2 linked regions of the Macaca fascicularis genome follow. Each later gene encodes a partner of the first gene's protein in a complex. Links are inferred from orthologs where the notes say so. Each region holds a gene or a part of one and is shown on either strand. Other genes may lie near its edges. The genes, in order: NCOA5 and ESR2.

Region 1 (3,819 bases):
GACGATAAAGCTCTTCTCTACGCCGTTCCTCACGTTTCAAACGCTCTGCAAGACACCACCAGGGTAAACTGAAATAAGGACTGGACCCTTCTATAAAAACAAGCCACAGGCCTCATTTTAAATCCTGAGCTACTTGTAGGCAAAGGTCATCTCTGAATCAATCCTTTGGTCTATCTCCTAAAAATAGCCAGCATTAGTATTTTTTACTATTAAAAATTAACCAAAATGTAATGGCTGGATTAAAGGGCATGGCCATTTTTTTTTGAGATGGAGTCTTGCTCTGTTGCCCAAGCTGGAGCGCAGTGGTGCGATCTCAGCTCACAGAAACCTCCACCTCCCGGGTTCAAGCAATTCTCCTGCCTTAGCCTCCTGAGTAGCTGGGATTACAGGCACCCGCCACCATGCCCAGCTAATTTTTGTATTTTTAGTAGAGACGGGGTTTCACCATGTTGGTCAGGCTGGTCTCGAACCCCTGATCTCGTGATCTACCCACCTCGGCCTCCCAAAGTGCTGGGATTACAGGTGTGAACCACTGCACCCGGCCCAGGGCATGGCCATTTTAATGCTGCATCTGATACTTACTGCCAAGCTGCTCCGTGGGAAGGCTGGTACTAATTTATACCTCCACAGACGTAGATCATCTAGTACCTATTTCTCTACACCTTAGTTAACACTGAGTACTGGCATTCTTTTTAAGTCTTACCAACTTGACAGATAAGAATAGTATTCATTATTATTCTAATCTGCATTTTTGATGACTTTTTTTTGAAAAAAAAAAAAAAGTAGTAAAGTTTAAAATTAAAAATTTTGAAAGTTCTTGTTTTAAAAGAAAAAAATCAAGTAGTAAAGTTTAAAATTAAAAAATTAAAATTAAAAATGAGGTTCTTAAAGATTTCAACTTAGCCAGGTATGAGGTAATTTAAGAAACTTTAAAGATGTATTGAGAAAAACCAGGCTTTAAAAAGACATGTTTGTCTTCATCTAAAAAAGAGATGCTATTAGGTAAAAGTTACGCAAAACCAAAAGCCTATTTTGCATAGATAATGCAGATAGTCAGTCATAGTTATCTGGTCAGCAAGCAAAAAACAAGCACTTAATGTATTAAGCTCCAATCTTTTGTTCATTTTTCTTTTTTTTTTGAGACAGGGTCTCACTGTCACCCGGGTTGGAGTGCAGTGGCACAATCATGGCTTGCTGAGACCTCAACATCCTAGGCTCCAGTGATCCTCCTACCTCAGCCCCCCGAGTAGCTGGGACTACAGGCGTGCAGCACTGCACCCGGATAATTTTTGTATTTTTCTGTAGCGATGGGGTTTTACTATGTTGCTCAAGCTGGTCTTGAACTCCTGGGCTCAAGTGATCTGATGGTCTTGGCCTTCCAAAGTGCTAGGATTACAGGTGGTGGCCACAGTGACCAGTATTTTGTTCATTTCTTATTGCTGGAATTTAATATTTATTTCTTCTTGTTGGATGTCTAAACCAGATGATGGTACTAATTTGCATCTTAAAAATCATTTTCAAGCCAAATGCCCTTTACCCACTAATAAGCTACTTGTATTTCTTCTTTTCATACACTGTTTGGCCAAGTCACTAGCCCTTTTTCAGATGGGGTACTGGTTATTAATTTCCTTTCTCTTTTGTAAAGTGTTCTATCACTAACAGGAATAGACTGTTTCAGCTACTTTACCTTTTGCACGAGACTGACTTTCTGGGCCTGGAGGGCCTCGTCCATCAAAGCTATCTCTGTAACGGTCAAAATAAGAGTCATCCTTTCTCCTGCAATAGTCATCCATTCGTAGGTATCGGTCATAAGAGCCTTCTCTCCTAAAAAGTTAAGGAAATTTTCATAATGATAAAACTGTGTCCTATACTGAAAAAATCATCTAGAGAATTCTTTGGGATTAGACAAATGAGGTTTATATCTGAGACTCACTGCATATCAGCTCTGTGGCTGTGATAGTTAACCTGTCTCACAAAATGATGGGAAGGGATGAACAGAGATGATGTACAGAAAGCACTTAGCATAGTCTTTGGCATATATTAAATGCAAAATAACTGGCAGGAATTATTGATATTAGTTTTGAGGAAACATTACACGTCCCTCCCTTGTGCTTTTTAAAATTATACTTAAACGTATGTAACAATAATTTGCCATTTTAACAATTTTTATTTATTATTTTTATTTTTTTAGTAGAGACGGGAGTTTTGCCACGTTGCCTAGGTTGGTCTTGAACTCCTGAGCTCGGGCAATCCGCCAACCTCAGCCTCCCAAAGTGCTGGGATTACAGGCGTGAGCCACCGTGCCTGGCCTAACAATTTTTAAGTATACAATTCAGTGGCACTATATTCACAATGTTGTGTAATCACCACCATTATCTATCTAAAATTTTTCATCACCTCAAACAAATTCTGCATTTGTGAAATAATAACTCCCCTCTTTCCAGCCACTGGTAATCTTTAATCTACTTTCTGTCTCTATAAATTTGCCTATTCTTGATATTTCATATAAGTGAAATCATACAATATTTGTCTTGTGTCTGGCTTATTTCACTTAGCATAATGTTTTCAACATCCTTCATGCTGTAACACAGATCAGAACTTCATTCCATTTTATGGTTGAGTGATACCACATTATATGAATACATCACTTAAAAAAAAATCCACATCAGATGCAGTGGCTTACACCTGTAATCTCAGCACTTTGGGAGGCCAAGGCAGGAGGATACCTTGAGCTCAGGAGTTCAAGACCAGCCTGGGCAACATAGTGAGACTCTACATCTATACAAAAAGCTACCCAGGTGTGGTGGCGTATGCCTGTAGTTCCAGCTACTTGCGAGGCTGAGGTGGGAGGATTTTTTTTTTTTTTGTGAGACGGAGTCTCGCTCTGTCGCCCAGGCTGGAGTGCAGTGGCGCGATCTCGGCTCACTGCAAGCTCCGCGTCCTGGGCCCACGCCATTCTCCCGCCTCAGCCTCCCGAGTAGCTGGGACCACAGGTGCCCACCACCACACCCGGCTAATTTTTTGTATTTTTAGTAGAGACGGGGTTTCACCGTGTTAGCCAGGATGGTCTCGATCTCCTGACCTTGTGATCCGCCCGCCTCAGCCTCCCAAAGTGCTGGGATTACAGGCGTGAGCCACCGCGCCCGGCTCAGGTGGGAGGATTACTTAAGCCTGGGAGGTCAAGGCTGCAGTGAGCTGTGATCATGCTACTGCACTCCAGCCTGGGAAACAGAATGAGACCTTGTCTCAAAGAAAAAAAGATCTATTAATCTGCTGACAGACATCTGAATTGTTTTTACCTTTTGGTTATTATGAATCGTACTGTTATGCATATTCATGTACAACTATCTGAGTCCCTCTTTTCAATCCTTTTGAGTGTATACTCAGGAGTGGAACTGATAGATCATATGGTAATTCTATGTTTAACTTTTTAAGGAACTGCCAAACTGTTTTCCATAGTGGCTATACCAATTTGCATACCTACTTGCAATTTCTGATGGTTTCAATTTCTCCATACCTTTCGAACACTGTTATTTTCTGTTAAAAATGTTTAAAATCATTCATACATTCAGCAAAATTTATTGAGCAGCAGCACATCTACCACTCGACAGTCACTAGAAATATAAGGCTGATAAAATTATTGCTCTTACGGAGCTTTCAATTAGTTTAGCAGAACATACATAAAAAAGAACTTACGGAAAAAACAAGCAGAGTAACTATGTATGTACCTGTACATAGGATCTCGGGAGTCTCTCATGTCTCTGTATCTGTCGTACATGGGGTCTCGCTGATCTCGAAAATCCCTAGAGTCTCTTAGAT
Region 2 (4,345 bases), on another chromosome or scaffold:
GAGGAGTATATGGGAACTGGGTACCTTGAGGGACCCCAGGACAGGGGACAGGGAGGCTGAGGTTGGCATGTTGTCCACTGCATTTATTTGCCAGCGACACACTCTTCCTGTCCAAACTAACTTCTCTGCCTCAAGGACCGGGAGACTCTGCCTTTCAACCTGAGAGAAACCAGGTCAGCTTTAATGAAAATTGGAGTTGGTGTGGGGCAGTGGAGGCTTTTCACAGCTATTGTTTAGCTGATGAAGCAGGTGCTTCTCCATCTTTGGAGCCTGTCTTCATTACCTGCGGACCTCATCCTTATCAACCCGGAGCACACTTGTGTCTATTTTGGCTAAACACTAAACAGTTGAGGCTGGTACTGTAAAAGGTTCCCTCCAAATGCCCCCTTGGTCTTCCTCTGTTAGAGATCTGGATCACAACCCTCAAAAACCATGTCCCTTATGCCACCTGAGTGGTTTGATGATTAATTAGGCACAGATGTGACACTGGGTTCTCGCAATGGCCTGTGGGTCACACGTTACTTTCCTTTTAATTTTCATCAGCAGCAGCTGCCTTAAAGCCAGTTAAGATGGTGGTCGCAGTCTCACACCCTGAGGCTCCTCCTGGGTTGGGTGAGGGGAACACCCCGTTAAGCTGGGGGAACTGGGGCTGCCACCAGGAGGCGCGAGGGGCCTTCGCCTGAGGAGAGGGGTGGGCAGGTACCTCCAGCCGAGAAGGGCGCAGCGGCCGGAGGCACAGGTCTCCCCAGTGCCACTTCCACCAAGTGAGTTCGAGGAAGTACCTGGGATCTTTGATCTAACGCGAAAGGCCTTCCTAGCGAGCTCTTGAGAGCTGAGAACCCACGCCCTCCACCTCTAGTCCACGGCTTTGCCACTCCAGGACCCGAAGTTAACGTATGCTGCTGGGGATTGACAAACCCAAAGCCTCTCTGGTTTCACCACTGGCTCCTTAGAATCAGACTTCTGTACTGAATGACACTTATGTGAGTCAGGGGCTGGGGGGACGTGATCCTCGAAGTGTGGTCCCCAGACTGGCTGTATCAGTGTCGGCATCCCGCAGGACCTGGTTGGAAATGCATGTTCTTAGGCCCTACTACAGACCTCTTAAATCTGAGACTGCGGCTGCGGGGAGCGCCATCTGTGCGCCACTATCCTTGGGGGTGGACCAGGAGGCGGCTCGAGGGTGCTCCCACTTTGGGGTCACGCGCGGCGCCGGGCGCTCCTGAGACCGCCGGGCTCCCGGGCTCGGTGGTCACGTGGGCTCAGGCACTACTCCCCTCTACCCTCCTCTCGGTCTTTAAAAGGAAGAAGGGGCTTATCGTTTAGTCGCTTGTGATCTTTTCAGTTTCTCCAGCTGCTGGCTTTTTGGACACCCACTCCCCCGCTCGGAGGCAGTTGCAAGCGCAGTGGCTGCGAGAAATAACTGCCTCTTGAAACTTGCAGGGCGGAGAGCAGGCGGCGAGCGCTGGGCCGGGGAGGGACCACCCGAGCTGCGACGGGCCCCGGGGCTGCGGGGCAGGGCTGGCGCCCCGAGCCTGGGCTGCAGGAGCTGCGCTCGCTTTCCTCAACAGGTGGCCGCGGGGCGCGCGCCAGGAGCCCCATAATGCTGGAAAAGCACGTGTCCGCATTTTAGAGAAGGCAAGGCCCGTGTGTTTATCTGCAAGGTAAGCGCCCCTTCGCTCGAGATGTCATTTAATTGTCTCATTTTGTTTGAAATCCTGCGGTGAGAAACCAGTCGTGTTGAGAACAATAAAAGACCAAAAAAACGGTCACCAAAACCAACTGTCTTGAAAGCTACTGGAAAGATGGAAAATGTATGCTTTGATTAAATGTCTTCATTCAAGACACCGGCAAGTTAACTTATTTAGTTTGTGCTGTGAGCTCTGGGTTGCTTGTGCTAATATGAATGTCTGAAAAACTTTTTTTTTTCCTGTGGTTTTCCTCGATGGATTTCCCCACTGTGGGTGAAATGACAGTGGAGTTGAACACACTTTCTGATTGAAATTTGAGGGCCTAGGAAGATGTACACGTCTCAGGCAGATGATAGGGGTTTTAAAATGTATTAATTGGCATTCCTTAGCCATATCAGCAAGCTGCGTTCCTCCTTTCCTGGGCAGACCAAGCTAAGCTCTATCTGGTCTCCTTTATTTGCTGAAGAGGAGTCCAACAACTGCCTTCTAACACCCTGTGTGTTATTCTTCTGGGAAGGATAATATTAAGTCAAGTGAATGTTATATTTGTGGAAAAAACTTTGAGTGGACTTCTATTTAGGAAAGTAAGGTTGATTTACTTTTACTTGCTGTTTAAAAAGCAGGATTGTGTTTGGGTGTGGTAGGCAACATTTTGAAGGAAAGAGTTTGCCTTATTTTGCTTTATTTCTAGTATTTACATGGGCATTCCATTAGAAAGTTTTATTTTTGCTCTAAGTTTCGTGACTCAGTGTCTAGTGAGGGGAAAGATGTTTGTCATTTAAAGAGTGAACATGTGAAAGGAAAGACTTTTCTGAGAGTGTTGTAAAAAGCAAATGTAATGTGACTATGAAAAGAATATGATTAACATCTTTGACTCCTATTTTTTCTGAAGAAAATGTATTTTGACATGAGTTCTAGAGGGAAACTAAGGATCTGTTTATCAATAGGCATTAGAGTATACACCTTAGGATTGCATTTTACGTTCAAGCAATTTTTTAGATGAATTTCTGAAACGTTCTCATTTTAAAAGCCATGAGACACTTGTTAACACTGAAGTCTTGCTCAAGACATAGAAGTCGCTGAAATCAATTAACATGTTTAGGACACATTTCGTAGTGTTCTGAGGGATGTGAATAAATCACAGTTTGCATTTCTCAGAATGTATTTATAATTCAGAAAAGGTAAAATTTAGTAGCAAATTCAACCCATAACCATATAATTAACATTTAATAGATATTGATATGTTCACTTTTAAGAATAAGACAATGAGATTTTCTTTAAGTGTGTATTGAACACATAATGATTCAAAATTCATCTTGTGATAAGTTTAGGTGATGTTTTGAGTCATTTTATAGAATATAAATGTGGATAAAATATAAAATACTGAAGGCTGAACTTGAAGTGTTTAATGGTAAGTTTTTGATAATACATCTAGAACCCTTGAGAATTGTATGCTTGAACGTTAGATGTCATAATTCAGTGTCTAGCACACTGTTTTATGTGCAATAGCACTTAAAAAAATTAGGCTACTGCAGTATAATTTACATACAGTAAAATTTAGCCTCTGTAAGTGTACCTCTATGAATTCTGACAGATGCACAGTCATGTAACCAGCACCACAGACAAGACACAAGACAGTTCCATCACCCCAAAAGTCCCCTTTGTACCTCCACCTACCCCACTGCCCCTGAAAATGACTGATTAAAACTACATAATAAGTATGTAGTTTTGCTCTTTAGTGTGTTTTTACTTAGACATATTTTCCTTCACTTTTTTTTGAAAGAAAAACCTGTTTTTCCCTTTTTATAGGATGAGTCAGTTTGTGGTATTTTGAATTCTAGTACCTTGGGATAAATCAAGGCAAAGACAATGCTACTTGCAAATGGGAAACTAGAGACTTGGACTAAGTGTTAAATTCATATAGGGCTAATAGATTTAGTTCTTCGCAGATTTAGATTCTATTGTGGTTTAAACCTTTGGTTATGGCATATATCATTAGTTATCCTGAACTGAAATACAAGGCCATTAAAAGTTATTTATATCATATTAGTAGAATGCATCATTCTGGTATAATCTTTGAATTTTAAAACTTCTATATTAAAAAAAAAACTACTTTCATTATACCTGAGATTAAGAAAGCTACCTGAAATTGCATATTATCAAATAGTGAGAAGCAAAAGAGGGTTTGAAAATGACAAATTGAAGACATTTAAAATGCAGAGTGATTACAATTGCTGAAGGTAAAATATTTATCTTCATAGGGGCTTAGGTCTGTACCCAACTTATTTGTAGATGTCAGGATTTTTAAATTTCTCTGCTCATGTCTTAAAGTCTAGATTTTCCTGGTGGGTGGAGATGCAAAATGTTTTGTAAACTAATAGTTTTCACTGTTTAATACAGTATTCAATTCAGTATGCAGTTAGGAGCCTGTTATTGGTAGGTACTGCTAATATACATATATAAAATTGATGTTTTTTTCCTTTTTCCTTTGTTCTATGAAAAACAGCCTGTATTTTAAATATGTAACTTACCTTGCATACCCAGTTACAGTGGTAGTAACTAGGATATGCAGAGTAGCAAGTTTATGAGGAACCAGCAAACTGGATAGTTGGCCTTCCTAGCTGGAATTATGACAGGTCTTGAAAATGAAGGGC

Evidence for each region.
Region 2: the proteins of NCOA5 (region 1) and ESR2 are in contact, whole or in part, in a crystal structure (PDB 4ZI1), measured with the Homo sapiens proteins. The link is inferred for Macaca fascicularis from reciprocal best matches to the Homo sapiens genes NCOA5 and ESR2. Residues at the interface, in NP_066018.1 of Homo sapiens: Ser344, Leu345, Ile346, Leu348, Leu349, Ala350, Asp351; in NP_001428.1 of Homo sapiens: Ile310, Lys314, Phe319, Leu324, Gln327, Val328, Leu331, Glu332, Leu490, Glu493, Met494.

The regions. Positions count from the first base shown.
Region 1 is NC_088384.1:102,116,671-102,120,489, forward strand, and holds part of NCOA5 (nuclear receptor coactivator 5), read right to left. Parts: coding exon 3,729-3,819; intron 1,825-3,728; coding exon 1,688-1,824; intron 46-1,687; coding exon 1-45. UniProt on the Homo sapiens protein: Nuclear receptor coregulator that can have both coactivator and corepressor functions.
Region 2 is NC_088381.1:132,127,473-132,131,817, reverse strand, and holds the start of ESR2 (estrogen receptor beta), read left to right. Parts: upstream 1-1,328; 5' UTR 1,329-1,664; intron 1,665-4,345.